Oreochromis niloticus: one gene and its partners. The protein of the gene in region 1 purifies or fractionates together with the protein of each later gene. This does not show direct contact. Links are inferred from orthologs where the notes say so. Each region holds a gene or a part of one and is shown on either strand. Other genes may lie near its edges.

What was found.
Region 2: the proteins of mcmbp (region 1) and mcm8 purify together in Homo sapiens (co-immunoprecipitation; 3 studies listed by BioGRID and IntAct, with this or other methods). This does not show direct contact. The link is inferred for Oreochromis niloticus from reciprocal best matches to the Homo sapiens genes MCMBP and MCM8.
Region 3: the proteins of mcmbp (region 1) and mcm3 purify together in Homo sapiens (affinity purification with mass spectrometry; 10 studies listed by BioGRID and IntAct, counting the BioPlex papers as one, with this or other methods). This does not show direct contact. The link is inferred for Oreochromis niloticus from reciprocal best matches to the Homo sapiens genes MCMBP and MCM3.

The regions. Positions count from the first base shown.
Region 1 is NC_031978.2:25,389,199-25,400,073, forward strand, and holds the start of mcmbp (mini-chromosome maintenance complex-binding protein), read right to left. Parts: upstream 4,162-10,875; 5' UTR 4,024-4,161; coding exon 3,966-4,023; intron 2,343-3,965; coding exon 2,251-2,342; intron 2,172-2,250; coding exon 2,031-2,171; intron 1,920-2,030; coding exon 1,878-1,919; intron 1,797-1,877; coding exon 1,707-1,796; intron 1,591-1,706; coding exon 1,452-1,590; intron 1,076-1,451; coding exon 930-1,075; intron 802-929; coding exon 704-801; intron 628-703; coding exon 452-627; intron 1-451. Other genes in the region: sec23ip (SEC23-interacting protein), read left to right, coding at 4,649-4,781, 5,279-5,793, 5,875-6,088, 6,201-6,394, 6,511-6,600, 6,690-6,810, 7,064-7,153, 7,245-7,386 and 9 more. UniProt on the Homo sapiens protein: Associated component of the MCM complex that acts as a regulator of DNA replication.
Region 2 is NC_031978.2:5,992,536-6,003,010, reverse strand, and holds the start of mcm8 (DNA helicase MCM8), read left to right. Parts: upstream 1-5,359; 5' UTR 5,360-5,424; exon of another isoform or gene 5,425-5,613; intron 5,614-6,106; 5' UTR 6,107-6,113; coding exon 6,114-6,405; intron 6,406-6,601; coding exon 6,602-6,667; intron 6,668-6,790; coding exon 6,791-6,873; intron 6,874-7,080; coding exon 7,081-7,230; intron 7,231-7,384; coding exon 7,385-7,482; intron 7,483-7,578; coding exon 7,579-7,777; intron 7,778-7,916; coding exon 7,917-8,002; intron 8,003-8,730; coding exon 8,731-8,876; intron 8,877-9,087; coding exon 9,088-9,168; intron 9,169-9,253; coding exon 9,254-9,392; intron 9,393-9,702; coding exon 9,703-9,733; intron 9,734-10,382; coding exon 10,383-10,475. UniProt on the Homo sapiens protein: Component of the MCM8-MCM9 complex, a complex involved in the repair of double-stranded DNA breaks (DBSs) and DNA interstrand cross-links (ICLs) by homologous recombination (HR).
Region 3 is NC_031980.2:534,013-544,725, reverse strand, and holds the start of mcm3 (DNA replication licensing factor MCM3), read right to left. Parts: upstream 4,301-10,713; 5' UTR 4,142-4,300; coding exon 4,067-4,141; intron 3,824-4,066; coding exon 3,711-3,823; intron 2,781-3,710; coding exon 2,572-2,780; intron 2,469-2,571; coding exon 2,338-2,468; intron 2,249-2,337; coding exon 2,010-2,248; intron 1,924-2,009; coding exon 1,815-1,923; intron 1,727-1,814; coding exon 1,573-1,726; intron 829-1,572; coding exon 697-828; intron 390-696; coding exon 181-389; intron 92-180; coding exon 1-91. Other genes in the region: paqr8 (membrane progestin receptor beta), read left to right, coding at 8,306-9,370. UniProt on the Homo sapiens protein: Acts as a component of the MCM2-7 complex (MCM complex) which is the replicative helicase essential for 'once per cell cycle' DNA replication initiation and elongation in eukaryotic cells.

The DNA of each region.
Region 1 (10,875 bases):
GGCGCACAGTCACCGCAAATAATATTTATGTAGTCAAAGCAGTTTAAATGTGTCGCCCACATTGATTCATCATTAATAACTGATCTGTCTGCAGTGCTGGAAGCATCGGGTTATTTAATTAATGTTTTTTTTCATACAGTTTGAATTCATCTCTCCAGGGGAATGAAGTCAAACGTGCCAAAAGTGTCTCTTCTTCAAGTTGTCAAGTGAAATCTAGACAACCCCAGTACTCAGGCTTATTTAGCAGAATGCTATGCAAATGAGATTACATTCAGCTATCTCATTTACATCTGTGAAAAAAAAAAAAACAACCCTGCTGCGATACTTATTTTTGTAGCAGGATTATGAAATATTTCCCTGGATGCTTACTGGCTTATGATTGGCATGTAACATACACGAGGAAAAAGAATGAAGAAACTTGGAGGCCTGCTACTCTACTGTTTGTCCTTACAAGCACTGTTGTCCTCCGAGGTGGCGGCAGAGGGCAGCAGGGGGTTGTTGTGCTGCAGCTGCTTGGCGTAGAGCATGTGGAGGCGTGGAACGAGCGAGGCTGGCGGGCAATGCACCCTCTGCTCCTCCGCCGTCTCCATGCACTCAGTGGGATCCACCAGGCTTGAAGAGGCGTCTCTGTACGGAAACGTCAACAATGAGAAACAAACTGAGCGGATCAGGGCAGGGAGGAAAATCAAAGTATGTGTCTTACTTCTCGTCGGCTAAGGCGCTGAGAGCGGGACTGACGGAGAGGATCCCGTAGACCTCAAGCATGTCGTTCAGTTTGAAGCTGTCCCAGTCCTTGTAGACCTGCCAATGATACCCACATTATAGCATGTGTCCTAAAACTCTCCTCATGATAGCTATATAGTCTCTAAAATCACCTCTTTGTTCAAAACGCTTCAGTACAGGAAGAGGAATAAACTGACACAGCACACCTTGACTAGGCAGGAAGGGCCTTTCTCTCCCGGCAGGGGGAAGTTGAGGTCGAGGTGGGAGGCAGATGTCGTCTGGCTGGAAGGAGCTTCTGTCTCCTGCCGCTTACAGTCGCCGTTGCCGTGATGTTCTGTGGGACTCTGAGGACCTGCAGCGAGGAAAAATAAAGCCATGCTGATAAAGTTCGTCCTTGACCACGAGATCTACAGATGAGGACAAATTTATTACCCCCTAGGAAATTTAAAGTCGTTGTCAAAATTCTCCCCAAGTGCTTTTTAAATAGAGCAAAGGATTTTCAACATAGCATTTCTAAACATGCTATTTTCTTTTATAAAGCACAAGTTATTTCTATTTGCACAATAATGCGAGGAAAAAAGGAGTCTAGACGATGCTCACAAGGCAAGGACGGATCCACAAAGTTATCAAAGCGTTTCAAAAATGACAGTAATGACACAATTAAATGATGTAACTGATCAAGAGCAGCTATAAGTTGGGCCTTATGCTAACGCTCTGAACACTCGTACCAGCGTGCGCTTCCCTCTGCTTCTGTGGCTGCGTGTCCATGTCGTCCATGTCGTCGTCTTCCTCGTAGCTTCGTTTCTGTCTGCTTGGCACGTACGAGGTGGAAGGCACCACTCTTGCTTGGCTGCTGTTGGCATACCTGTGCAACAGAGTTAAGGACAACTCGGAGCAGCAGATCGCAAGATAAAAATGCACATTTCACGAATGCCAGCTGCGTAAAGAGCGATTCTGTGTGGTCTTTTGCAAGCTGAGGATATCTCTTTGACCCAGGGGTTTTCTCCAGGGATTGGCACACAGTAGAAAGTCTGTCGTTCTGCAGTCACGGTGTTTTTAGAGTTAAAATCCACCTGCAGATAAAACACTCGTTAACAACCAAGTTGGAGCTAAAATGAGCCATCTATAGCGAATGAGTGTTTGAAGAGACTCACCCCGCATTCTGTCACGTCTTTATACTTCCCACATCGCAACGTCTGTGAAAGAATAGACAGAAAAAGAGGATGAAAGATGAAAACAGCTAAGAGCTTATCAAAGGGCTGTACTCATACCAATAACAGCAGACGAGAGGATAAAGAAGTGCGTACTTTAGCCTGTGTGGCTGGATCGACAGTCTCATAGACTCCCATGTAGAACTCTGGATCAAACATGTCTTGGATGAAACAGCGAAATTTCACGAGGCTGTTGGGCTTCAGGTAATGCATGGGGATGTCGTTGAGAGATGGGACCTGCATCAAAGTGTGCAGAAACAGATTAGGAGCCTGACTTTCGTGCACATGTTTTTGTTTAAAGTGTAATTTGTATTACCAAGGTGTGAGCGTCCTTCTCTTTCAGCCGATCTTTGAAGAACTCCACGGCTCTCGCCTCCCAGCCAGAGTTTGGATCACTCTGGGAAGCAGCTGAAATATCAAGAAGGCCTAATGTTATTGGCAAATCAAAACTCAAAGTTGGATAAATGGTTGTTGTAGCGCAAAATTAGCTTAGCTGGGCTGCATTAGATAAAAATGTTCCCTTTCAAGCCTCGCTCAGTGTCTCACTATGGAAAGCGCCCTCTGGTGTGAGCAATCACCACAGACCAATCCCCCAACCCCTTATAACAGCCCCCGTCCCCACACCAGGCATTTTCAAAGTACGTCCTCGCAAAGATCAAAGGTGCTCCTCCCACTTGTTTAACCTTTTGCGTTCAAAACGGTCTTAATTTTTTATGGCACTGATTCAAAGTGCTGGAAAGATTCCTTGGAGATCTTGGTCAATATTGACGTGACAGCATCACACAGTTGCTGCAGATTTGTCAGTCATGATGTGAATCTCCTGTTCCACCACAGGCTGATGTACACCGTGGGCAACAACACTCAGTCTGGCTGTGGTTTTTAAATGATGCTCAGCTGGTACTAAGGGGCCTAAAGTGTGAAAATAAGATATCCCTCACACATCATTACACCACCAGCAACCTGAAATTGGTGATACAAGGCAGGACGTAGCCATGCTTTCATGTTGTTTATGCCAAATTGTGATCCTACCATCCAAATTCTGCAGCAGAAATCAAGACTCAGGCTGACCCAATCTTCTAGCTGACAGAAGAAGCGTTCTGCTGCTGTAGCACATCTGCCTCACGGTTTGACATGTTGTACATTTACAGATGCTCTTCTGCAAATCCTAGTTGTAACAAGTAGTCATTCGAGTTACTTTGTTGCGTTCCTATCAGCTCAAAGCAGACAAACCATTCTCCTCTGATCTCAGACATCATCAAGGCATTTCCACCAGACAACTGGTCCTCACTGGATATTTTCTCTTCTTCTGACCATTTTTCTGTAAGCCCTAGAGATGGTTGTATGGGAAACTCTCAGTATATCAGCAGTTTTTGAAATACTCAAAGCAGCTTGTCTGGCACCAACAACTATACCACATTCAAAGTCACTTAAAACCGTTCATCCAATTCTCATGCTCGGTCGTCTTGCCCATGTCTGCGTGGTTAAATGCACTTGTTGTTGCCATGGAACTGCATATATTAGAGAGATTAGATATATGTCTTACTGAAGAGTTCAACAGATGTACCTAATGATATGACTAGTGAGTGTATAAATGTAATATGAAGAGCAAAGAAGTGAGACAGGGTAAAGAGAAAACCTGTTATAATGTAGGGGTGTAGAAGGAAAAAATAGATAAAAGATTTACCAGAAATACATGATGCAACATGTCTAAAAGATATAAGCAACTTTTATTAATCTTAAATATAACCGCCCCACCAGTGACACGTAAATGTCAGTCCTTTAAAATTTTAAGGAATATGTGGATTTTTCTGTATATTCTTTAAAATCCGTCTCGGTCTTGATGTGTGGCGCTGGCGTGTGTACAGTTACTACACAAAAAAGTGTAAGAAGTCATTTGCTTTTTCGAAGAGAAAGAAAAAAGAAACCACACACAGCCACCTGCAATGTGCAAAGTTGGCATGGTACGTAGTCAGAGAGCTAACTAGCTAGGTTCACGCGTTAGCCCTACAGAGTGAAGTTCCGGTGTCTTACCAAACATCCCCTCAACAACACCAAAGGGGTCGTTAATCCAGTCATGTGTGGAAGGCATGGCTTAGATGGTGATAAAGGTCCGGAGATTAGAAAATATATCAAAGTAAAATCACAGTGAAAACACCAGTTTGTTGACTTTCCCCATACACGGGATCGCTGAAGTGAAGGGCGGGAAATTTGCGTCACAAGACGCAGAGCGTAGTGGGTTTGTTTTGGGTACGGGGACCAACCGGAGCACGGAGGTGTTACTCGTCATAACTCTTCTTCAGGATAGGCTGGGTGTTTTTCGTTTGACTTTAAATTCCTGTTCTAGTGAAGAAAAAAAAGAAATAGTCTTTAATATAGAGCTACTTCTATTTTTTAAAGATACAGTTTGTTGTTGTTTTTTATTTAAAAGATTAAAATATTACAGTGTAAGTAATCATCCTGGTCTATAGGTGGCAGTGGTGAGCGAGAGTGTTTGTTGTAGCGTCAACAAAAGAACTGTGGCGAAATTGCCTGCGTGATTTTAGTAGATCTGAATAATATGTGCTACGCTGCTTGTAGTCGTGCAATCTCCGGTTGATGCTTTATAGCTCAGCAAAATCTGCGAGCCCAGTGAAAAAAACAAAAACGCTCATTGGAGAACTGAGCGTGTCCTGTCTGCCTGCTCCGGTAGTGGCTACGTGTAATTCTCGGGGAAAATGGCAGATAGAAAAAATAATAATGCTCCAAACACCAGTGCAAATTTACTATTCAGCGCCGCTCCGGAGTTTAACTTCAATTTGCCTTTCATGCCAGTGAGTCAGGCCACTGGTCCGGCGGTGCTGTCAGGAGGTGAGACGAGATGCCGACTGAGGAAATGTCCAAACATTTGTGGGTTCGTTAGCAAGCTAAGCTAGTTAGCAAATTGGGTTCCCGTATCGCTTACGGGGCTTACTGAGTGTAAAAGTAACAGAAAGAGAAAGAAACCTTGTCCGAGTAGCGAAGCGGTTTTTAGGCGTAAGGTTAGCCTAACTGACAGCGATGTGTTGTGGTCAAACTTGCAGCTGTGTGATGTTTTATTTTGCACGTATGTTTCAGGGTCACAGCCAAAACAGTGCTCTGAGTTAAATGGCAAGACAACGTCCTGTTACAGGAATTTAATGATGCGACATTCTGCTGATCAAGCGCCTGATAAAGATGTTTCCTCTTTTTATATTTTAAGGACTAATCGGTAGAAAGCTACAGCTCTGAGTATATATTCTCTAGCTCTGTGATTTAATGTGTGTCAGATGTTTTTGCATAGATACTAAAACATGTGTTACACCCTTATTCTCCATGTCGGTGTGCAGTAGATGACTCCACTGATGTTGGAGAAGAAGACAGCTTTGTAGGTCAGACGTCTGGGAATGGACATCCCCCATCTACGTTCAGCTACTTCTCCAGTCCCATAACCAGTACTGACCCATTTGCATCCATAGGCCAGTCTCCATGCCCCCCGACAGTGCTGTCTGCAGCCCCGACCACAACAGGACACGTTTCTGTTCCCAGCAGTATCAGCATGGTTCCACCACAACCCCCACCTGCCAGCTCACAAATTAACCCTACTCCTCCGATGTTTGGTAGTGCAGTTTACCAGAGCCCCATGGGGCGTCACACTCCTCCCCCTACCACAATGACCCCACCGCCTCCCCAGATGCAGCCGCAGAGCCACAACCCGTACAGACACACCCCCACCAGCAGCAGAGCTAGTCCTTATATCCCAGCTCCGGAAATCCTGCCACCAACGCACACGCCTCAGCAGAATCCCTACTTGGTCAGCTCACCACCGCAAACGTTCCCCCCATCAGGACCCATGTATACAAAGGTAAGTGTATCACACCGGTGTTGTTGATCACTGGGTTTATTAACTTATTTGGGTAGTTAAATCACATCTTTCTCTCTTCAGCCTCCTCCCACACAGATTCAGGGCCCTCCACCTCCACTTCCAGCCACCACAACTGGAGCCGTCGTTCCTGCTGTTCCCATGATGCCGTACAACTACAACGTCTATGAGCCAGTTCAGCCTCACTGGTTCTACTGCAAGCAGGTGGAGTCAAAAAGCGTCTGGCTTCCTTTCAGTATCTTTGACTCCCTTCAGCTTGAGGAGACGTACAACTCTGGTACGACAAGACAAATTGCAAATTTGTCTTTGGGGTCCTGAGAATCTCATCTTGACCTGAGCTGCACAGTGAAGTTTTTTTTGTTTTTGTTTTTTTTTTTTCATTCTTTCAGTTCAACCAGATCCAGAAAGTGTGATCGTACGCACGGACGGAGGGAGGTATGACGTGCAGCTTTATGACCGCATACGGACTGCAGTGTACTGGGAGGAGGAACCTACAGAGGTCCGACGCTGCACCTGGTTCTACAAAGGAGATACAGATAGTCGCTTTATTCCTTACTCTGAGGAGTTCAGCGATAAGCTCGAGGTTTGTCTCAAAAATACTGTTTTTTTAAAACCCTCTGCATTGTTCTTTATTGGTTTAGTTTAGGCTGCACTGTTGTAAAAGGAAATTATAATATTGTATTATTGCATCATCTCTAGGCTGAATATAAGAAAGCTGTGTCTACCAACCAGTGGCACCGCAGGCTGGAGTTCCCCTCAGGGGAAACTATTGTGATGCACAATCCAAAGGTAAACCCTTGTTTGATTATTGTGCTGTAGCGGTCTGATGATGTAATTGGCTTTATAGTTCATGAGCATTGATCTGTTTGCCTTTGTAGGTCATAGTGCAATTTCAGCCCTCCTGCGTACCAGATGAGTGGGGCACAACTCAGGACGGGCAGACCAGACCCAGAGTGGTGAAGAGAGGGATCGATGATGACCACGATGAAGTGCCTGATGGTAGACAAGTTCCGCTGTGCTCAAAATAATTTGCTCTAAGTGTAAACACAGTTTGTATCATCCACTAAGTGTAATTTTAGGAAATGGAAAGTATGATAAGGTATTCCAGAGGCATTAGAAGGATCATAATCAGTTTTTTTGATAGCTGGTTAGGTGCTAAGTGAAGTATAATGCAGCCTCATTCTGACTGCAGTTCACATTTTATGCACATATTTAAGATTAGAGACAAGTGACCGTGCGCACCTCTTTCCAGGTGAGCTCTCAACGGTGGATCATCTTGTGTTCATGGTTCATGGAATTGGCCCCGTGTGTGACTTGAGATTTCGGAGCATGATTGAGTGTGGTGAGTAATGAAGTAATGAGCAGTCACACTGCAGCCGTGTAACGATGTGTGCGAAGGAAACGTTAAAAATGCTGTTTTGTCGTGCTTTCAGTGGACGACTTCCGTAATGTGTCGCTGAAGCTGCTGCAGAGCCATTTTAAGAAATCCCTGGATGAGCACGCTATCAGCAGAGTGGAGTTTTTGCCTGTGCAGTGGCACACGGCTTTACATGGAGATGCCACAGGGGTGGACAGGTGAGGGGGACAAATGTTTAACACCAAAGAGGCCTGACACACATGTGGTGATATTATAAATAGCTCCTGTCTGGATGAAAACACTGGAGCTACTCTCTTATTTTAAATTGACATTGTTTATCACCTGGAAATCCTTCATCATTACTCAGAGATGGGTAAACAGAACATTTATCAGATACTGTCATTATGTACTGGAGATAATTGGTGGCTCAGTTCACCAGACATCCTTGCAGGACCTTAACAGACTTATTTCTTGTTTGTCTTTGCAGGAGGATAAAGAAGATCACTTTGCCCAGCACCGGGCGTTTACGTCACTTTACCAATGAGACCTTGTTAGATGTGCTTTTCTACAACAGTCCCACTTACTGCCAGACCATCATGGACACTGTTGCTCAAGAGATTAACCGACTCTATGCCCTGTTCATGGAGAGGAACCCGGACTTCAGAGGTGCAGTGTCAGTGGCAGGACACAGCTTAGGTAATAAACATGTTTAATCAGCTTCTAACCTTTCTGTTTTTTCCACCATTACTTAATTTTTCTGCATGTTTCTTCTTGCAGGTTCTTTGATTCTCTTTGATCTGCTTTCAAATCAGAAGAATGCCTCACCCGGAGGGGCCATGCCAACCATGCCTGCTGCTAACGGAGAGGTCAAACAGGTCACGCCCTGGCTAATTTAAATAAATTACAATATACTGTAAAAATAAAACGAACACCGTGCTCTTTTCCGTTTATTTGTAAATGAGATGAATATTTTCAGAATAAAAGTTCAGTATGTAATTGTAAATTTTTTATCCTCATATCAGGTGACGGCCCCCGTTGCACAGGAAAATAGTGCCGTCACGCCTCCAGCTGTGGAGGAGCAGCCCAGAGAGGATGGGGAGGAGTTTGAGGATCTTGCTGCTATGCTGGAACATCTGGGCCTGTCTGAATACAAGAGTACCTTTGATGAGGAGAAGATTGACATTGAATCTTTTGTAAGAACACAGTCCACCTTTTATTTTACAGACTGCTGTGAGTCAAGATGTGTTTTAAAAGTATAAGAAATCTAGTTATAAATGTAAACTGTATAAGGTCATTTGAGAACATCTGGGGTTTTATGCGATATAATGTAATTCATCTTATTCTGACCCTTTTATATTCTCTTAGCTTATGTGCACGATTGAGGACCTGAAGGAGATGGGTATCCCACTTGGTCCCAGGAAAAAAATTGCCAAATTTGTCAAAGAAAGAGTGAATAAGCAGGTAAGTTTGTCTGCTGAGTATCTGCGAGGCTTGCAAAAGTTATTGTGATTATGACCCCACCCCCCTCATGGTTTCATGTTCACAGGCTGCACGTCAGGCAGCTCAGGAGAACAAAAAAGAGGTCAAAGAGGTCACTCAGACTGCAGCACCTCCACCAGCAGCTGCAACATCAGCAGCTGAAGTTCCCTCTCATCCTACTGTGAAGAAGCTTCCAGTGGGCAGCACCGTCTCCTCTGTCCATGTGGACTACAATTACTTTGAAGTTGGAACGGGGCAGGTAAACACATCTGTCTGTCAGCAACAATGAGCTGCTATTCTGAAGCAGAGCTGGCTGACATTTAATCAATCCTCTGCAGGTGTCTGTCATCTACCACACTCTGGACTTTGAGCCTGTGAATTTCTTTGCCTTGGGTTCTCCAATCGGCATGTTCCTGACTGTACGAGGACTTGAGAAGATCGAAGAGGCATACCAGCTGCCCACATGCAAGGGATTCTTCAATATTTATCATCCAGTATGTGTTTGTGTAACATGTTTTATTGTTTCTGGGTCAGATTTGTACGTTATTCTGGTGTGCACGGGCATTTCATTCACTAGGCTAATGGTTTAGACTCTAATTTTAATAATGTCTTTCAGCTGGACCCAGTGGCTTACAGGATTGAGCCCATGATAATGCCAGACCTGGACTTGAAGCCTGTTTTGATCCCACATCACAAAGGACGGAAGAGGCTTCATCTTGGTATGGACCCAAACACTCAGAGCAGAGCTGTCATTGTTTTAGTCACATATGAGATTAAGTTTCAAGCAAAAGCAACAAAAAAAAACAGTTTTTAACTGTGAATCCTGACAGTTACAGATACAGAGTTAATTACTGAACCTAAACTAAACTGTTCAGTATTTTTGGCCTCTCTGCCACTTAAGGGTGGAGCGCCCCAATATCTGCGGTTAACAGCACAAAGACTCTGTTCTTGCACTTCAATTGCTATGAAGCAACGTAGTGGCAAATAAAACTGATTCGTTTTTTCCTTGGCTGTGCAGAAAAACATTAAGGTGACGGCAAAATTAAGTTTCTCGTGGTGGTTGCTTTTTTTTTTTTTTTTTTAGTTTATGTAGGTTTCATTGGTTTGGTGGAAATGGGTTTAGGCGTGATTCTGTGTGTTTCAGAGCTAAAGGAGTCTCTCTCCAGGATGGGCTCTGACCTGAAGCAGGGCTTCATCAGCTCCTTGAGGACTGCCTGGCAGACCCTCAATGACTTTGCTCGTGCTCACACCTCGAACGCCCAACTTCAGGCCCAGCTGGCCATCGTGGCCAATCAGATCGAAGAGGAAGAAAAGCAACAAGTGCACGAGGGTGAGTGCGGCTCAGTTGTGAGTCTTCGTTTGACTATTTTCTGTACTGTGTGAGATCAACCGTTTTGCTCTGGTTTGTCACAGAGCATAAGATTCCAGACAACCCTGAGCTTCAAAAAGAAGACGACGAGTCTCAGGTGAAGATCGGGATGTTAAACGGAGGGAATCGCATCGACTACGTCCTGCAGGAGAAGCCCATCGAGAGTTTCAACGAGTATTTGTTTGCCCTCCAGAGTCACCTCTGCTACTGGTACAAGCAATCTCATATTAAAGACCTGTTTGTAGTTGCAATTTGAATGGAAACTTGAGTATTATGCAGCCGAATGACACCGACTGAAAACTAAGTCAGTGTTTTTTGGTATCAATTAATAATTTAAATATTTCCTATGTGGAAAAATAACAGGTTTGGTGGTTTCAGCCTCTCAAATATGTGAACTTTAATAATTTATCAAGTCCTCATGAGTAGTATTTTGGTTTCATGAAAAAAAAAGACTTACTCTTCTGTGGTATAGGTTTTTTTATTCATTGCTGATTTTTAGGCCCTTTCCTAACAGTACATTCTTGCCTTGTTTCCATCAGTACCTTTTCAGCTCGACTTGATTCAACTTAGTTGTGATAGTTTTTCATTAGGTGGTAGTACCTGGTACTGGGTGCTACCTTCTTTAGCGCCTGCTCAGCTGGGGTTCCAAGTGATCAGTTAATCCGAAAATGTGAAATCAGACTGCACGCCACCGATAGGCCAGACGATGGTGTCACTCGATGAGTCATGAGAGTGACTCCTTCACAAAAATCCAAACCACCATTTTTGAAACCTGGCAACGAGGAAAATGGCCGCAGAAAAAAACAACACTGTGGTTCCCGAGTCTGACAAAAAGCTTTAATGACCCACGTGGAGGTGG
Region 2 (10,475 bases), about 19 Mb from region 1:
CTGAATTAGAACAGAGACTGCAAACCAGGATCTCTTGTCCAACATTAGTTTTTGACCTCCAAAATTCCCCAAAACACACCTAAACCTTGTGGAAAAGAGTTGATTCTGTACCTGTAAAAGGTCATGGCTAAAGACGGAAGAAAATAAGGTCACTATATGTGCAAGTATTTGCTGTGAGTCATAGGCTCAGACTTCAGACAGTGTTCTCAGGCTCAGGTTTTCATGCTCTTTGATATATCAATAAGAGTGGATATCCTTCATAACACAAACACAAAAGTCCCATCAAACTGCTGTTCAAATCTTTTGTTTATGAGTGACATCACAAAGGCCAATTAACATGCATACACTTTACTGACAGGGTCATGTAGACATTCAGAAAAAAAAAGTCGATGTGATTTACAGAGTAAAATTGTGGATGTGCAATACATTAAGAAAATAATAAAGATATTGTCAAACAAAAACATCCTACTCTAATCTTTGTTTTTGCACAGTGTATGTGCTGCTCTCCCTCACTGTTGGTTAAACGTATTCAAATGTTTAATGCGTTGCTCACAGATTTTGAGTACTTTTCCTCTGCAGGCTTCCACAACTCCTGCCAGTTCAAAGAAAGTTGCCTTTTACAAAGGTGGACCTTAAAGAGCTGGAAGCTAATGCTGTCAAGCAGGGGCTAAACTGAAGGGCTGCAGAGCTGGTATAGTACGACATGAATAAGGATGGTTTTTTTAATCTTTTAATAATTTAATTTAAAGCCAAATTGAAGTCCTGATAAGCATAAAACTGTCTGCTGTTTCAATGAAATCTCTAACATCTCAGAAGAATTTATGCCATGCATGCCAGAGTTTGCAGGGTTTTTCCTTCATAACTGCTCTGCTCAGCTAACTGCTAAGCTATATGCAAGTACTGAGAAATATCTCACAGGAACAATAATGTTCTGTTTTTCACTGCAACACATCCTCATTTTAGAGCTAAAAGTTTAAAAACAAACTTTTCTTGGCTTTCACTATTTAAACAATACTACTGTTGTTTCACTAAAACCGTTACTTTTTTCTCAGTGTTAAACTATGTGCAACTGTGTTTTCTGTGAAACCTCCAACCATTTCTCCCAGTGAGCTTCCACACCCAGTACTTTCTGCAAAATAGGGAGAATGATGGTTTGACAACCCAATTTTTCTTTGCAGCAAAAAGGTGATGGCCACCTGCCTGTACTCATTGAGTCATGCTGGTCTCCTGGAGCCACGATTGATCAGTCTGTAATACAGTCCTCAAGGGGAGCCATATTGCACCCACTGAACCTGGGATATTATACTTAGGAGAGTTTTCTCACCATAAAGTATGACTTATCACCAAACATCAAAACGAGTGAAAGTCTTTTCTACTGTGAAAAAAAGCAGCAAAAACTAAAATTATATCATCTAAACGTTTATAAGCAGCTAATATCAAGTGTCTTGTAAAGAAGACAAAGAAAAATTCATATGTGATCCAAAAAGACAAAGCATCCAATGTTACCAAAGCATACATTTAATGTGTATTTCGATCTTTGCACCTTTTTATTTGTTTTTCTCCACTAGCTTGTGGCCACCAGAGATTATGGTGCTTGTAAACCTGAACACTTTAGTGCTGATCTATTGCTGATCTGATGGCTGCAGACGCAGCAAACAAGACATTTGGAACATAACAAAATTGTATATCTGATATAAATCATTGCCCTATATGTCAATGGGGACATTGTATTGAGGGAAAAAATAAATTATGGTTACTCTGTGGGTTAGCACTGTGGCAAACTCAAACTCCAGGTGAGAAACTGATTGAATCATCGAGAGGAAGAGTCTGCAAATGGCTGAGCATAGAAGCAGAGCATCCAAATAGGGGATTGCTGCTGTGAAAATAACTCAGTTTGACTTTATGCCATCTTGTCCCGTCCCTAACACATCCATAAGTAATGAAATCTTTCTCTCCTGACACCCAGACTCATTTTAAACATAGGCTGTAGATATTGTTGTCATGTCACAACCCAGCGGCGGTGACTCATCGCCTACTTAACTCTCGAGTCTGGCTGAAAAACAAACTTTGCTGAAAAATGATTTCACCTTGTTTGCCAAATAGCCGTGAATTCGCATTGATTTGCTGTTGATTGATCAAGTAGAGATTAAATACCTTGCCGAGAGGAGCAGTCCGCACATTCATCTCTCTGCGGCGACTGCTGGTGCTTCAGCTCTCTCCCGGCACTTCAGTTTCTACATCTCTCTCCACAAAAGACCTGTTATCATCACAAAGGCACACACACGGAGGAAAAAGCCTTATTTCATTTATCAGTGCCATGAGGATAATGATAGGAGAGAATTAGAGGACATATCTCCCCCTCTGTCTTTATTTCTTTGTCTGCTGCCCTGACAAGAGTTGTTTCTGACCTTAGCAACAACCTGCAGCAACCTGTTTCACAATCTGTCTCCCTTTACTGTATGTGTGTGTGTTTGTGTGTGAGTGTGAGGTTGTGTGTGAGTGAGTGTGTGTCTCCATCCCTCTCAGCCCTCTGCTATTACCGCTAACTACTCCAGGCCACAGTACTTCAGGTATTGATTTTTCCCCTTGTTCATTCTGTCTTTCTATCCCCTTAAAACCACTCCCTTGAGATGGTGTGTGTGAGAGAGAGAGAGAAAGTGTGTGCTTTCAAACAGTTTTTGTTCTGTGGACCACTTTTAGTTTAAGAATGCACTTTCTGGTCACTTTCTAAACTACATTTTGCTTCTTGTTTTTGGCCAAGCATCTACCCCTCTTTTTGGCATGGATGTTTGGATGGATCTGCATTTTTCTAGTTCAGCTGTGAAATCTCACTAATCTTGAATAAATTTCCATTCACAGAGGTCCTCTCAGGTTTTGAAATGCAAATATGTGATTTTATGAAGGTACATGGAAAATCACACACATAAAAACATCTCTCTTTGGGTTAAATGGTACAATTATTCAAACCATCTGAGTTTGAATTTGCTGTGTCTGTGTGAAGACACACTTAAAGCAAACATGTTTATTTTACTTTTGGTAAAAAAAAAAATAAGTGTGCAAAAAGGCTTGAACCACTCTTCATTTCTTTATATTTTTCTAGGAAAATAAGAGATGGATTCAGATGTTTACTGAAATATACAGCTGTAATCATACATACAAATGCAGCATAAATGACAAAAACAAGCTTGGCAGTCAATATTTGATATGTCCACCTTTATTCTTTAACACATTTGACACAGCCTGAACTCCTTTAGGCAAAGCTCATTTAAGTGGCTTCAGGAATAGTTATCCAGACTTCGTGAAGGACACCACAAGGTTCTTTGGATGTTGGCTGATTTTTGTTGTGTTGTCAGTTGTCTAGATGATTCCACACTGTTTTAATAATGTTGGCCAATCCATGACTGAGTGTTTTATTGTGTGCTTTTCTGTCCAGGTATGCTTTTAGTGCATTGGCAGTGTGTTTGGGATCATTGTAATGTTGAAAAATGTGGCCCCTGGTAATCAGACACTTTCCAGGTGCCACTGCATTGCAGATCAAAATCCGATGGTACTTTTCCGAACCAAAACCATTTAAATCAAAACTGAACCAAAGACCTGTTGCTGCTGATTTGCAGTGCAGTTCTTGTGAAATCCAGTATACTCTCTGGGGATCTTGACCTTTGGCCGCGGGGGCTCTGCCTGGGGCATCCCTCCATGGTGTGTGCACACAGTTGTCATCGAGATGTGTGGCCTTGGGTCTTTAGTACTCTCTTGGGCTGCAGATGGCCTGAGTCCCCTGGGTCTTTCTCTATGCCTCTGGCTCCTGGAGGGCGTTGTTGCGCCTTCACACCCTCATTATCAAGTATTTCATCACAAACACAACACACACACACACACACACACACACACACAACACAACAAGACTGTTGGTTAGTGCATGTATTTCTTCACTTTTCAGGTGCTTTTCTTTGGATGTGTTTTCTTACAGGTGCAGCAGTTGGAGACCCATTGCATTTTCCCACTTGTGCTCTGTCCTCTTGCTATCATATTTTTACCTATTTTACCCCTTTTTCCTTGCTATTTTTCTTCAACTCTGGCATTGCCATATTACAAGTGCACTCATGTGAACAATAATAATAATAGAAATCAATAAATATAGAAAGAAAAGACAAGGCAAGCACAATAAGAGGAGCCTACAGAGAGTCTATGGAGCTCATCTTTGAAGAGCAAATGCTTAGCACAACGATGCATTCGAATCCTGATTCTGACTCTGCAAAATCTGCCAGTCCCGACCAATGACTGTACAGGTTACAAAAAGACTACAAAATGTACTGAAGTCTGAATAAAAGGTGATTCAAGACTTTTTTTTACTAATTTTATAATAACTCCCTAAAATACGTATACATGGATTGTTTGTACAATAATGTTAAATTGAACTTTAAATGAGTTACTATTTCATGTAATGACATAAAATGTCCAGAAGATGGAGGCAGAGGGCTTTGTTTTGTGTTATGTGGTAGGAGTGACTGATGGGTTGAAGGAGAGGGTGGGTTTACATCAAGGTCCTTATCTGCTCTCTTTTTTTTCATGGTGGTGATCGACAGGCTGAAAGTTGAGGTCAGGCAGGTCACTAGCGACTTTGTGATCTGTAATGAGAGTAGCGAGCAGGCTGAAGGGCCCTGGACAGGTGGAGATATGCTCAGGAGAGAAGGTGAATGAAAGCCAGTAGAAGCAACACAGAATAGATGTGTGTGAATGGTGAAAGGTAAAGCTACAAGTAGTAGAGACAATGAAGGTGGATGAGTTTAAAAACCTGGACTCAACCATCCAAAGCACCAGACAGCGCACCACAAGAGAGGTGAAGAAGAAGTGCAAGTGGAGTAGGTGGAGGTGAGTGTCAGGGGTCATTTGAGATAGAATGATAGCAGCACAAGAGAAAGGGAAAGCTTGCAAAATAGTAGTGAGAGCTGCTAAGATGTATGGCTTGGATACAGCAGCATTAACCAAAAAAACAGGAAGCTAAGCTGGAGGTATCAAATCCCCAAAGCTGAAGATGTTTACGTCTTCAGTGGAAATGACCTCTATGAACAAGATTAGAAATGAAAACTCTGGACATACACCTCTGATGTTGGAGTCAGTCTTCCAGTTTTGAGGTTACAAGTTCTAATGTTTCTATTTATACTGAAATCCGTTTGCACTTTACCTCGTACATCTGCTCGTTTTAACAGCTGGATAGTGTCGCGGTAAAATCAAACATCTTTGGAGAAACTGACAGGATTTGAATTCCTGCTCAGAGTATGCAGAGTATGGAGCCTGCAGGCGAATAAGAATTCTGTAGTAGTCTCGCTATCCTCTGGGGGGCAGTAAAGCGCCTTAAAGGCATATCTGCCAAAATAATATTAGAAGAAGAAGAAGAAGCTTCTTCGTGGAGGGAATTTTTGTTTGGTAATGTCAGTCTTCGTGAATTTTGTGACACCGAAACACACAGTTTTGGTTAATGGAGTAATATATTGTGCACTTTCTTAAACTGTGAGATTATTTTACTCATTCTGTTCAAGAAAAGGCAGACGGTGTGTTTATACCTGTTGTCACTTTTTGAACGGAACGTGTAGGAAAAAGTCGGTGATTGTAGTTGTAAGTTGGCTAATAAGGATAACGTTACGTTACATGAAACATTAGCCCGCAGCTTTGTAACCTGAAATGTGTAGTTAGACTTGTAGGGTTTTTAAAACTGAAGGGCAGTTAAGTTACCCAACAGTTTTTTTTAAATGTTAAAGTTGATCTTAAATCTGCAATGTTGACTATAACTTTGCACTTTTGCTGTAACAAAACAAATTTCCCACCTGTGGGACTAATAAAGGTCATCTTATCTTATCTTATCTTATCTTATGAAAAGTAGAGCCAATCAACACATATATCTATTTCAACATTTGCTGTAGTAAATATTTTCAGTTCAGCTCAATGCCTGTCGCTGTGCCTAGATAGCACTATTGGTCCTCCAGTAGTATCAGATAACTATTGTATCACTGCCTGCTGTGCTTGTGTGTTTATCTGGTAAAATACATGTAGCTGCTCAGTGTTTTGTTAATACTGTCACTTATTTTCGTTCCTCCTTTCATTGTCTTAGGAAAGTAATGAGTGGACAGGATTCCAGGAGAGGCTCTTCTAGAGGAGGCAGAGGAGGAGGAGGGAGTGGAAGTGGTGGCGGCGGCGGTGGATGGAGAGGAGGTGGTAGTGGAAGTGGTGGCGGCGGCGGTGGATGGAGAGGAGGAGGTAGTGGTGGTGGTGGTGGCGGATGGAGAGGACGAGGGAGTGGTGGTGGCTGGAGAGGAGGGGGTGGAGGATGGAGAGGTAGACCATGGAGAGGAGGATCAGGAGGAGGTTGGAGAGGTGGAGCAGGAAACCATACCTACAGAGCGCAGAGAGGTGAGTTTCTGACACAAACAGTGTACTTTGTAAGAAACCATTAGTAGAACTATATTTTTATTTTTCTGTTGGAAAAATACATGTTACATATTAGTGTTACTGCTATGTCTAAAAACACACAAAAAAAACACACATTTGTGGTTGTGTGGAATGAACAGCTGCAACAAAATAACCAACTGCTCAACTGTCTCTTCAGTCCTTTGTCAGACTACTCTTGATGCATTGTGTCCGTACAAAGGATGGACACTCTACTTCACAGATGGTATGTGTGCATTAATGGGTCCCCGTCACACTGTTACAATAAGTTTAGAAAGACGTCACATTTAATAGTCAGGATAATGCGTCTTTGTCTGTGCCTGTAATCACCATGTCTTTTAATGTCCAGGATTTATAGAGAGTGGACCTAATGTGGAGAAGATCAAAGTGTTTGAGAAATATTTCACTTTCAGGATTCATCTGTTTGACAAGGTTCGTCAGACGAACTCACTGCACAACACACTGGCTCTTTGAGTTATCATTTGTCCATTTGTCACAGTGGCACTACTTGGTGGCCAAGCTATCAGACCCTAATAAGAGACTTAGTATGGGTTTTTTTCCTTTAATTTCTCATCCATCTGTATTATTTTCTTTGTCTGTTTCCATGTCACTTAAAGTGACCTTTGTTTTTGTGTACAGGATGAAATTGAGCGTCAGGGAAGTGTCCTGGTTGATTATGCTGACTTGATTGCAGACAAAACTGTGCGTCACGCACTTCCTGACATAGTCACACAACTGAAACAACAACCAGAGGTGATGCTGAACTGTTTGGGATTGGCTATTCACCAGGTACGCACACAAAAGACCCTACCACACATTTTATGCTAGCGGCATGTTACAATCTTAATGATACATGTTCATATTATAACAAATGCCCAAATTCTAAGTCTCTGTAATTCTAAAAACCCAAACCCTGACTGAAAACTCTCTGCACATCATTCAGGTCTTGACTCTGGATTTGCAGAAGCAAGCTGCTGAGCTGCAAGAGGAAGAGTTTCCTGTTGCTACACCAGTCATCAATATTCCCCATATTAGTGCGAGGTATTTCATTCGGTGAAGAATAATGAGTTGTTTTCCTGACAGCCACTTTGAATGACAATGAATAAGGATGACTGCATTTGTGTGAATCACCCGCAGGCTCTATAACTATGAGCCACTGACTCCACTGCGGATGTTACGTGCCAGTGTGTTTGGCCGGCTAGTTTGTGTGAAGGGAACAGTGGTGAGAGTGAGCAGTATTAGACCGCTATGCACCAGGTTGGCCTTCAGGTGTCGGACCTGCTCGACCACACTGTCTCTGGCTCTGCAGCATGGGAAATACACTACACCTACCAAAGTATGTACACGCACACTTACACGCTAACTTTTTTCTGCAACATTCTTCCTGTACTTAAAGGCTGTAAGTTATAATGTATACATGCATATGGCTTTCCTGTCAGCATTCACACATCTCTTGTTTGTGTTTTATAACCTAGTGCGGAAAGCCTGACTGTCGCAGTCATACCTTCATCCCCATCCGCAATTCTCCTCTTACACAGACTGTAGACTGGCAGATCATCAAGTGAGTATATCATGTACAGTGAAAAACTACAGTAAGACATAGCTAACAAAAATGGTTGTTGCAGTTGTTATTTGAGAGCGGGAAAGGATGCCATGTACTGATATCTAAATGTACATGTAAAAATACATGAAAGCTCCTCCGAAGAAAAGCCTTTCTGTTGCATGTATTTTTGAGGTATATACAGCATGTCCGTAAACTACTCTGTTGCCGGTCCATATTATAATCACCCTAACCCAGGGGTCCCCAATCTCAGTCCACGAGGGCCGGTGTCCCTGCAGGTTTTAGATGTGTCCTTGATCCATCACAGCTGATTTAAATGGATAAATTACCTTCTCAACATGTCTTGAAGTTCTCCAGAGGACTGGTTATTAGCTAATCATGTGATTCAGGTGTGTTGACCCAGGGTGAGATCTAAAACCTGCCTTAACCCCATGTCAATTACATTTAATTTTAAGTTGATTCATGAAGAATCTTTGTATGCAAGTTATCATTCATTTATATTAAGGGATTTTACTTTTTGTTTTTTTGCTTGTATTATTTAGTGTGTACCTTTTACTGTGCATCTGTGTGTAGGTTTTATGTGTCACTCTGGACTTGTTCTTTGCACATTGTGCTTTATCAGCAGTTCACAGATATGAAGTATTGTCTTTAAAGGTCACATCTCATGCAAATAACCTTTGTCATGAATCCCTGATCAATTTAATTTGAGTTATTTTGTGCCACTTCAGGGTGCAGGAGTTGATAAGTGGAGAGCAGAGGGAGACTGGACGAATCCCACGGACAGTGGAGTGTCACCTGACCTCTGACCTCTGTGACAGCTGTGTGCCTGGAGACACTGTTACTGTGACAGGGATAGTGAGAGTTAGCAATGATGGTACAAAAACACACATTCTGATCATTGTGAAAAGTTAAGCCAAAGAAATGCCGGTGCAGTCTCCAATTCGAAATATGTAGTGAAATATTAAAAATGTCTCAACTAAATCAAGCATTTATTCAACAAAAACTCTAAGCCTTTGAAGTTGGAGTTTGCTGGAAGAAGTGCCCTCCTACGTAGACATCAAACATAGTTTGACTGTGTTTTTTAGGTCCAGGCACTTATAGAGGAAATAAGGATCAGTGTATGTTCCTCCTCTACATTGAAGCTACTTCTGTCAGCAATACAAAAGGTATTCTCTTTGAGATCTTCACATTTATATTAATAGGCTTTAGTCTTAACTATTTAATGAACTGGAACTTTCTCTAAATATGTAGGCAAGCAGTCCAAGATGGGAGGTCAAGGTTCAAGCGGGACAGTTGAAGATCGCTGTGGTGGGGAAGAGTTCAGTCTGAAGGAACTGTATGCTATTCAGGAGATCCAGTCACAGCCTGACTTGCTGCGACTTATAGTGCAGTAAGATGATTACCCACTGCATTTAATGCAGCTACCCAGTTTCATGTAGTATTGTTTTAAGAGTTATCACAGTGTCTATGTATTTAATTTTTGTCCAAACAATGGAGTTTGAATGGTATGGTGATGAGTCAATTTTAACAATTTAATCTCAAGTTATCTATGAAGTTAGCTTGATTATTTATTTTATTTTTGTCAGGATTTAGAAATATAAAATTCTTCAGTCATCCAAAAATGTACTTTTTGATGATGATGGCATGCTACTACTGCAAATCAACATGTTTTGACTAATTGCGTCCACTTGTTTTTACAGCTCTTTGTGTCCTGTCATCTACGGCCATCTGGTGAGTTCCGCAAGACTGAGTACACTAACAAGCTTTTCATTAGAAATTACTACTTCTTTCCCGTCAGGGCTCAAATCAGCGGATCGTCTAACTCCATCTCACCCTATCACTAATATCATCCTCTGTCATCCCATCTGTTTGTCCTCCTTCGCTATATTCATGAACTTTCTCCATGAATCTTCCTCCTTTGCTCCTGCCTGGTAGCTCCATATTCAGTATCCATCCAGTGTATCTACGGTCTCTTCCCTGTCCAAACCATTTCAACCTCCCAATCACTCCCAATGAAAATCCGCACCCTTTTGGCTCTGCCTTGCTTTGTCATGCTCTTCAAACCATATACATTATACTTAAAAGTAGTTTTCACTACCAACTAGTAAACCTTGCCTTTCACTCTTGAGCTATCCTTCTGTCACAAATCAGCCCTGACACCCGACTCCACCCACTCCACCCTGCCTGCACTCTCTTCTTTGCCTCTCTTGTACTCTGTCCATTGCTTCGGATGGTTGACCCGAGGCATTTAAACTCATCTGCTTTAACTACCTCTACTCTTTGCAGCTTCACTGCTGCTAATGAGGTCTTACTTGCAATGCTAAAGTTTAGTCTAAAATCTTGTGGCTCTTGTAATTCTTGTGTCTTTTTGTCTCTGCAGCTGGTGAAAGCTGCCCTTGCTTTGGTTTTGTTTGGAGGCAGACAGAAACAAACAGGCAAGAATAGCATTCCAGTGAGAGCAGACCCCCACATC
Region 3 (10,713 bases), on another chromosome or scaffold:
TCTGATCCAGCATGATGAAGAGGAGGTCAAAACGCGACAGCAGCGAATCCTGGAGGCCGATGTTCTCCATGGGGGTTTTATACTGATCGTACTGCAAAAAAGGGAAGAGCAGAGTTTTCGTTAAAGGTCTTGTCCAAAATTAACTAGCAGGCAGAGACAGATGTGGGTGTGGTCACGCACTCGGCCGTAGACGGGGTTGGCAGCAGCCAGTACAGAGCAGCGGGCATTGAGACGGGCGTGGATACCGGCCTTGGCGATTGTTACACGGCCCTGCTCCATCACCTCGTGGATGGCTGTGCGGTCCATGTCGGACATCTTGTCGAACTCGTCGATGCACACCACGCCGCGGTCCGCCAGCACCATGGCCCCAGCCTCTAGACGCCGCTCGCCTGGCGGAGGACAAATGTTGGTATTGAGCAGGGAGAAATGCACTTACAGCAGGTGTTTCCACGTGTTTAACACGTTAGCTCATGTTAGCTCATGCTAACAGGGACAAACAGTGTAGCTAACAGCACATTGCTCATGTGCCACATCCATCGTCACTACAACAGGCAACACAAAGCAAAGATGTAAAACATTTTCTGACTACAGTAAGACCTGACATGGTGGAGGCTCGCTGTAATGTAGCTGTGCTGGCTGCACTTACAGAGGTCCTTTACTTGTTTAGGTCAAACAAGATTGGGGGACATTAGTTACCCGTCTCCTGATCCGTGGTGACGGCAGCGGTCAGACCCACACCAGATGAACCGCGTCCAGTCGTAGGTATAGCTCGGGGTGCTGTGTGGAGAACGTAACGCAGGAGCTGGGATTTGGCCACCGATGGGTCACCTGGGAAACACCAACACACCATTACCCCCACCCCAATCAGAACTGAACTACCATCATGTCCACGTGTGAGTCCTTGAGTTTGTCTTTGTCTCTTCAGTCAGCACAGTCGTACAGGTAGCCATTCCCTGTGGTGTACCACAAGGAACAAGTCTAGGTCCCTTTTCACTGGTGTCTCTCACAGATACTGATTTATGGCACAAACACATTTTATTGTTCAGTTCTACCAACTGCATTGGTCAGGTTTCCCTCTGCCTTTTGTCCATGAATGTAAAGCTTGTAGCCAGAAATTTAGAACAATTTGAGTCACCATAAAAATTTGAAGAGAGTCCTGAATTAAACCAACGCTCTCACACTTCCACACTTGAGTGCTACAACTCCAACAGCTACTTCAGAGTGTAGCTTCTTGCAGGGTTTACCATTGCCCCAATCCAATGTGGGTTTTTTCCTCTTCCCACTGCTTTTTAAAGTACATCTGGCTTTGGCCAGAAAGCTCCAGCCAGTGTGCAGCTGTGGTTCCTAAACATGGGGCCCTTCTCCCTGTTCCAAAGGGAGAAATTAAATGTAGAGTCGAGCTTGCTTGTGCCTCAGGACTCGCCTTTGGCCTTTGGCCTGAGGAGATAAGACTTTCCTTTGCCGTTTCATTCATTTGAACTCTACTTGTATCGGCCACATTGGCCGTTGTGTTTTGAACAAACTGGTTTCATAGGTGCCGTATAAATAAGAGCTAGGACGATGTCCTCATACCGATGAGCAGGATGTTGATGTCTCCTCTGATTCGCGAGCCGTTCTCGAGGACCTTCTCCACGCCTCCCAGCAGCATGCAGAGGATGGCCTTCTTGATGTACTCGTGGCCGTGGATACTGGGAGCCAAGGAACGTGCGAGCTGATCGAAGACATCCTACAAAGGACGAAGATTTAAAGGGTTTGGTTTCACATTTAGTTAGGATGACTCCTCCACGTGTGAGAAGGCAGCCAAGATGACTCACTTTGGAACGAGTCCGACTGAAGTTCCTGATTTTGGCCACGTCGTCAGCAGTGAAGCACGGAGACACCTCCTTGCTCATTTGTTTGATGTGGCAGGCGATCATGATGGTCCTTTGATGAAAGGAGAAGGGACGGGTTAGAAGACAAATGGTAGGCAAGTGAGGTAAACCCATTAAGCCCAAGTTATTCCAGCTGACCTGAACGTGCCAGAGGTGAATCCTCCCTTCTTGCCAGGCAGACAGCGGTACGTCCCAACCACCTGCACCCGGTCTCCTGGTTTGACTGCATCCACCAGGTCGTTGTCCAAAATGATGTCCACAGAGCGCGGAAGCTGGCCAGCGGGAGCTTTCTCAGGCATCTCCTGCACTGTGATGGTTTGGTGGTCCTTGTAGATGGACAGCCCAAACTCTGTCTCCAGAGGATTGTTCTCTTCGTCCTATGTCAAGTCAAACAGGAAACAAGATAAATACATAAGTATAAAGACAGCGGTCACCCCCAAGTCTACAGAGAATGAGGCACATTTACCTTGGTGGGGTAAATGGCACTGGAGGGGAAGGCATCCAGGGAGGTCAGGTCCGTGTACTTCCTCTCCATCGTCTTCTTAGTGGCTGGACAGTAGTGAACGCTGCGCACTACTTTGGGACGGACGAGGGAACCTACAGGGACGAAGCAAACAGGAGGCATTAACATTTCACATACTTTCATACAGACTTTGTAAAACTTAAAGATTACACGAATAAATAAAGCCAATAAACTCACACTTTGTAATGATGCCCTCCACACAAACCATGCTGCCCAGCAGTCGGGAGGTGAGCGTTCGAGGAGAGACATGCTTAGATCCAAAGCTCCCCTCCAGGCCGATGAAGAACTCCTCGTACTGCTTGGCGTAGGTGCCGTCAACAGAGGCCACCAGGTCCTTCAGGGCCCGCTGGAAGGCCAGCAGCTCTTCAAATGCATTGTTCATCAGTCTGCAAAGACAAACCATGGATTTTATTATCAAGGCTTTCAGCGTGTTTTCAAGGGCTATGACATCCTGTACTCACTAAAACCGAACCCCCCCCCCTTTTTTCTTTTTTTTTTTTTTTATTTACTCAGTATGGAAACAGGAATCAAGCTCAAAGGTTTGACAACAGGAAGAAGAATGTGTATGAATCAAGTCTGGTTTTGGACATAAAGTAAAGCTGCGTTAAACCTGTATTCTTTCTGCTGGCCAGTAGGGGGCAGTGATCCTTCAGGTCTCAGAAAAAAAGTCTTAGTATTGAACTGTATGGCAAACAGCACTTTGGCTTCAGTATACACTTCCCTGCTGCTTGTTTCAAGTTATACTGAGCACAAAATCATGATCATTTTGTAAATCATGGTCCCATTCAAAGCCCGAATTAACCTGGATGTGTTTAAGAGGTCACCAGTCTGAGCATCCCTCAGTTTTTCCAGCCAGATTCAGCCTTTGCTCCTTATAACAAGTTTCAAAAAAGGTAAGTGAAGCTCAAAGGCTCAGTCTGAGCCCAGCTGATGGCTACAGCCATCTTTAAATACAGTCTGTGGATATACTATTTTGAAACCTGTTGAGTTTCTAAGTAAGCCTCAGCACGAAGAGAAAAACTCAGCATGTTTTTCCATCTAAATATTCATTTTTTTAAAAACAGTAAAGATTAATGGAACCATTCAACATAACATAATCACAATGTTGTAGGGAGGCCAACTGCCATCAACTATGACGTCATTTTGGACATTTCAAACCTTTTCGTGGTAATAACTCAGTAACACTGCTCTCTGTATCGGACCAGTACCCGTTTGTGTATCTCAAGCAATAAGCCAAGCATTGGGGGGTGAAGCAGTCCTGCGTGTGGGGCCCAGCACAACTTCGTGTGCGCCATCAGCCAGTTTTCCTGTCTTACTTTGCAGCTCGGGCCTCGTTGCGTCTCCTCAGGTCGTTGATGTTGACGATGAGCCGAGCCTTATTCTCGCTGATCATGTCCCGGACTTTGCTCTGATAGATGCCCTGGTCTTGCTGCAGGTATGCACAGAAGAAACGGGCACACGTTTGATGACGTCGCTTACCGACTAAAATTACGAGTATGACTGAAAAACATCAACTTTGAAAACAGACTTTTTATACCTAATATCTGCAATCTGACAGCAGCATTTTTTTTTCTGTACTATACCAAATTACAGCTCTTTTGTTGTGACCGCATGTTTTGTCATCTCAGCTCCAGACAAAGACTTTAGGCGAATTTAATAAAAACAGACTTACGTCGTCGTCCAGAAAGTCCAGGTAGTCCCTCTGAGCCTCCCTCATCTCCCGGTCATCTGCCACGTCGGTTGCCATTATGCGCGCTTCGTTATTGTTACTGAAAAGTCGGTAAAATGCCGCACAGCCTTCCGCTCCGACTGCTCCGCTTCAGTCAAGCCGCACAACTGAAGGGTTTTCGCGCCACTACGTACCAGCCGCGAGCTCAGCGTGACACTCGATTGGTCAATTCGGCACGCACCGCTTTACATAGTCGGCGGGTAAACGTACAACTGTCCAATACGGGCCTCGTGTTACCACGTGACTCCGTCCCCCCTGAAAAACTCCCGCGAAAACCCATCAGGAAGGGGCTGGCTGCTAAAAATGAACAAAAGGGATTTTTCATGATTGCCCAGCAGATGGCGACATAAACACATGCCTACATTTTTTTAGTGGGACATTTATTTGAAGCTTTAAAAAATAAAGCAGTTGGTGTCAAATATATAAACATAGCAAGACTTTTAATAAGAAGAAAGACAAATGGAGCATGCATGTGTTCTTTCAAATTAAAGTTACATTTCACTCTTCCACTGATAAACATTAAGCATTCTTTCAGACAATCTGCATTTAATTAAAAGTTTTCATATAAAATAGGACCGAAAATGAACAATAATAACTTGCATACATACTGTGATTTTCAGTATTTTATTTTTTTATTTTTATGTGGACATCTCCTGTGCTTTGACCAAACATTATAGACTTCAAGGAACTTGATGGTTTTCATGATCTGGAGTTTACATTTTGGAAAAATTCATTAGCTCCAATAAATTTATTGAAGAAAAACATCAGCTCAGTTTGAGGAGGTCATACGGGACCTTTTCTCAGATTTGACTGATTCTGTGTGTAATGACTCTACGCTATAGTCCTCAAACATAAAATATAAAGACTGTCACGGACAAGAGTCTATTTGGATTCCACTTCCATTCACAGTGTAACTAATCGTTTTCCCCACTGTAAGTGGAAAAACATGTCATGTCCCCCTCACTGTGGAAGGTTAATGTCTTTACCAGTTGTTTTGCCTGCTAGTTTTTACAAATACCTTCTAATCTGCACTGCTTTGCATTTCAGGCATGAATAACATGTTTTATCTATCATCACAGACTGTTTTATGTCTTTCATCAGCATCAATATCCATCTAAAGCCTTTAAATTTCATTTCACCTGCTATATTTGGTCCACTATGCAATCAGGAATATCTCATCAGCATTATAATCAGAATAATTACTTTTTTCTTTTTTTAATCCGAATGCCCATTACTGGCATCATGCACTGACTAATAGGTTCCCAAAAGATTATCCTAAATTTGGATCATGCTATTGTAATTATTCTCCTGTGATCATCATTTCCTCACCAAAATCATTCACTGTTTCTTAAGGGTGAAATTTTGCAGGAATCATTTTAGTGCTTTTGCTTAATATGTTGTCAAATTACCAAAGTGTGGTCAGAAACCAAAAACATGTTTGTGGGGCACGAGGATGACACAACGAATTCTGAGCATCTCGCACGTCATTTCTGCAGAATTCTTCATCTTTTTCATTTAATATTATCCCTCCAGTGTAAACGTGGGCGTGATTCCCTGTTCTGTCCTATTTTTTGATTGCTTGGTTTTCAGTGAGTTTATAATTCCATCTCACATCGGGCTGTTTTGTGTCTTTTGTCTGGGGAAGTTACCAAATGTTGACGTGTCACTTGTCTCAGGAGGGCTTCTGCTCATGTTCAAACTTTCTGCACACTGAAAATACACCACACGCTTCTGTGTTTGGGGACGAGTTTAGGAATCATGCACGTCTCATCTGTTTTGTAAAGGCTGAACACAACATTAGCTTAGGAGAAGTTAGCAATAACACTGAAATACTTCATTTCCACGGATGCTGTTTTTGCCCGGTCTCTTTCTTGCTGTTGAATGACCTCTGACCTAAATTGAGGTGAGTCAGGCCTGCAGCTCTTTAGATATTTTTTTTGGTTCTTTTGTGACCTCCTGGATGAGTCGTTGATGCTCTTGGAGCAACTTTGGTAGGCTGGTTCACCACTGTTTATAGTTTTCTCCAGTTAGATTTAGCCTTAGAAAATACTTTTTAACCTTTGCGTGTTAATGACTTTCTTTAGGTGATGGCTTGACGTGGGGCGATTACTGTTTCATATAGGGCAGGTTTGGATAGCATTTTGTTTTTCCTTAATAAATGAAATTATCATTTATAAACTGCATTCTGTTTTTGGCCATCTATGTTAGTTTGATGATCTCAAACATGTGACAAAAATGCAAACACGAAGAAATCAGGAATGGAGCAAATACTTTTTCACAGCACTGACTGTAATCCCTGGAACTTCACACCTGTGCTCCGAGGCACAGGTGTGGAAAATGTTGCTATAACCGACTCAGCATGATCACATGTAGGACAAAGAGTTAATGTGAGTGCAACTCCCTCACCAAGTAAATACAATAATATATGTATAAGTGGTCTTATGGTCTTGTTACACTCACTGGTTAGAGTTTGGGTGTGAGGGATAAACCATCATAGACATTACAAAGGTGGGAAACATGGCACTTAAATAAATCTAAATAGAAATCTCATATGTCCTGATGGATGAATCAGAACAAATGAAATAATAAGGTCAACTAATAACAGCAAATGAGACCTGATTTTGGTTAAATATGTTGGCCACATATAGTGGGACATGTGATCACCTCAGGTTACCAGGATACTGTCACATTCTCATTACCTCTGAGTGCACACCAAAGGGAAACCGTCTTAGTGCAGTGTGCAGTGCAGAACAGTAGATGGAGACACATACGTGCATGTATACGTTAACTTTGACCTCTATCGTGTCACCATTACAAGGCTTTGGCCACGATGTGCCTTCAGTCGCTTAAACAGTTGTTATCAACTTAATAATAATTAATGATTACAAACAAAAACAATCCAGATAAAAAATAATAACAACAAGCTACGCACGTGTTTTAATAAGTGTGCCGATAAACTGGTCTTCTAATGAGAAGGTGAATGCAAACACTGCGGACACACTGAGCTCCGGAGAGTAACAGTCACAGCCCTCAAAGCGTTGGTGACTGCATTTGAGGGCGTTTCTGGTCACTTTGACCCCGCCCACCCCTCCATTTCTCCGGCCTCTCAGGTTAGTAGTTTGAAGCCTTTTCCCTCCGCCCTGCAGTGTTGGAAACATCTTGTTAAACCAGCATGTGGTAGTTCCCCACCTGTGTTTGTATGAGAAGAAGCGCTGCTGCACACCTTTTATTCCACCTTCTTGCAGTGACGCGTGAGTCCAGACGGGCAACGGGTGTCCTGTGGTGCAGGTATGTTTCTTTTTTCTGTCGTCATATAAATATATGTATGATGGAAGAAACGCGGTCTATTTTTTCTGTGTGGCTCATGGAGCTTCTCCGTTTTAATGTTGAAATAAAAGACGGGAAACCAACGTGTTACCCCTCTTTTTTTAATGCGTAAAAAAGCGCACGTGCGGCCGGGGTTACCTTGGACAAACTTGAATGGGCTCCTAACATAAAGCGGCTCAGGTCAAAAGGCCCTTCGGAAGCTCTAAATGGGTGCCGGTGTTCATGGTCAAGGGGAAAAGAGGAAGATTTTAGCTGTTATGTCACCAGCAGAGAGGGGCGCACCCTTTTAGGAGGAGATCCTGCTCCCATCCAGAATGCAGCTTCACCACAGGTGGGTGATGGTTACAGGTTTGACTGCATAGCTGCTTTTCCGGTGCACATGACACAAAAAGAGAAGAATGTCTGGCTTACATAATTAAAGGTCTCCTGTTGGCTGTTTTTCTTTTGGCGACTGAAAGCTCTTAATTGGAATGTCACAGGAGTCCAAGCCTGGACCAACAGTGGAAACACTGTGGACTGCAGCGGCTTGGTTTCAGGGTTTTCCAGCCCAGTCTCTGTTGGCATGTTTTTGGCTGGTTTTGTGAGATTTTTGATCCCCTCAACACAAAAATGTCCCCGTCGTGGGATCAATAAAGTCTTATCTTATATTTTGTTTTGTATCTTAGATTTATCCCCACCCTCCTGCCACTGATCCACAGCGCAGATTCGTGCATCTAAAAATTCAGAATGTGACATCAAAGCACACCGCGTGCTCCTGTGAGGTGTAATTTAACGTGTCGAGTCCTCTGCTTTAAGGCCTGCATTAATCTAATCTCTCCCACAGGGTGCTCTGTCCTCTGGTTCTTCATCGTCAAGATGTCGACTGAGGTTTTGCAGCGGCTCAGCACCATAACACTGAGCACCAAGCACCTGCGTCGTCTCCCTCACCTCTCAGACTTCCTCCCTTTCTCTTTACCATCACCCAGCCCCACCGTCACTGCCTCCCACGTACCCAGCCTGTTCCGGGAACCCTACATCCTGTCAGGATACCGTCCTGTCCAGCAAGACTGGCGCTGCTATCTTCTCAGCCTCTTCCAGAAACATAATGAGTCCCTGAACGTGTGGACCCACTTGCTGGCCGGTCCTGTCCTGCTGCTCCGCTGGTGGGCCAATGTAGACACCCTGGGGTACACCTTGGATACGGCCTCGCTACCTCTGCTCCTGTTCTTGGTGTCATCTCTCACATATCTGTACCTCAGTGTGGCGGCTCATCTCCTGCAATCTCACTCTGAACGCGCACACTACTTCTTCTTCTTCTTGGACTACGTGGGTGTGGCCGTGTATCAGTACGGGTGTTCGCTCGGCCACTATTTCTACGCGTCTGAGCCAGCGTGGCGAGAACGCGTCGGGGTGATGTTTCTGCCTGGCGCCGCCTTCTTTGGGTGGCTCTCCTGCACCGGTTGCTGTTATGCCAAGTTTAGGTACAGGCGGCCATATCCGCCTCAGCGTAAAGTCTGCCAGCTGATCCCCACCGGCTTAGCGTACGTGCTGGATATCAGCCCCATAGCCCACCGCCTGCTCACTGTCTCCTGGTCACAGGAGCCCTCGCTGCCCTTCCACGCTCTCCAGATCGCCTGCTTCCTCTTGTCTGCAGTCTTCTTCTCTTGCCCCATCCCGGAGCGCTTCTTTCCAGGCCACTGTGACTTTGCAGGCCAGGGTCACCAAATCTTCCACATGCTTCTGTCCCTGTGCACCTTGTCCCAGCTGGAGGCTTTGTTCCAGGACTACGCCCAGCGGAGGGATACAGTGGTGGAGTTATTTGGGGAGTGGCAGTTGTGGTGGGCGTGCGTATCCTTCCCCGTCCTGTTAGTGTGCTGCATCCTGACGGCGCTGATCGCAGTGAAGCACATGAGCAAGGCACTGCAGAGTAAAGACGAGTGAGAGCGCAACAAAGAAAAATCAAAGAGCAAATCATCATAATTTTAATATTAAAACCAAGTCATGTGTTTAAAAATCCATATATTTACTTTTGTCTATAAAAATAAAAAAATGTATCTTATCACTGAAATACTTGAACAATAAAATACTCTCAAACTTCTTCCGGTCTGGTATATCTGAAGGTTTAACTGCTGATTCATGAAAGAAATAGTTGCCATAATTTGCTAACTACAGCTGAGTAAAGTTTTCCACAGTGAGTCACCCTCCCATGATACTGATCACAGAGGCTCAGAGTAATCCAGTAGCACGATAACCTAAAATAGTCTCTGGATGCTGTTGGAAACGTATCGAGAACAACAAACATTTATACTGTAGATCACGTCCAGAGAAGATCAACTCGATGCGCTTTTGTCCTCGTCTGAAATTCACGTGAGAGACCAGAAACATGATAAACTTTGGAGGTTGTGTGGAACGGGCTGTGAGTGACGTGTGTTTATAGGCACTATAATGGAAGGTAAACACTATATCTTGTCGACCCTGTTCGTTCCCATTGAGGAAACCAGGTTATTGTATCTGAGGTTTCGGCCATTCTTTGTTCCGCTAGGCCGACTGTATGTCGAGCACTTTAAGGCTGCGGCCACACCTTTTGTATCTATTATGTGAAGAAAGTTTCCCCCTGTGAGAGTTTACGAGACGGCCCAGAATGGGAGCCAGAGTCAGGCTCCTTTTAAAGGAATAGTTCAACATTTTGTGAGGCTCTTCTACTCCAGTTTAATTAGAAAATTCATGCCGCCCTCATTACTGTCAGCTTATCTCAAAGAGGAGGGAGGGAGTCGATTTGACTTTGTCCAAAGGTAACAAAGGTCAGCTATCAGGTTGAATGAGTCACCACTTTATATGTGGTTGTTTGACTTCTTAGAAAAGGATCGTGTGAATGAAAAGTTGCGGTTTTAAACAGGGTTATGTGCTGGACCCTGGCTGGTACGGTGGTTTCCTCTAGTTGGGTTACTTTTAAGGTTGAAAGTCTATGTTTAGCAGCAGTGAACAATATTTGATTCCTTACCTGTATTCATTTGATTGTGAGTGCACTGGCTGTCTAGCATGTAGACTTGTCTGTGATAGGTTAGCTGATTGATCTCTGTCCCAAAGCAGATCCATAAAGACTCGGTGCTGATTTCTCCTTTGGATGGGTCTTTATGTCTTTTCACGTTTCCTGTGCACAGCAAACATGCTCCACATGACAAACATCACACTGCATCCTTTAAAAGTGCTACTGGGCAGATTTTGTAGCTCTTGGGCACAATTGGACCTTTTTCCCAAACGATTCTGAACTTGTTCGATCTTTC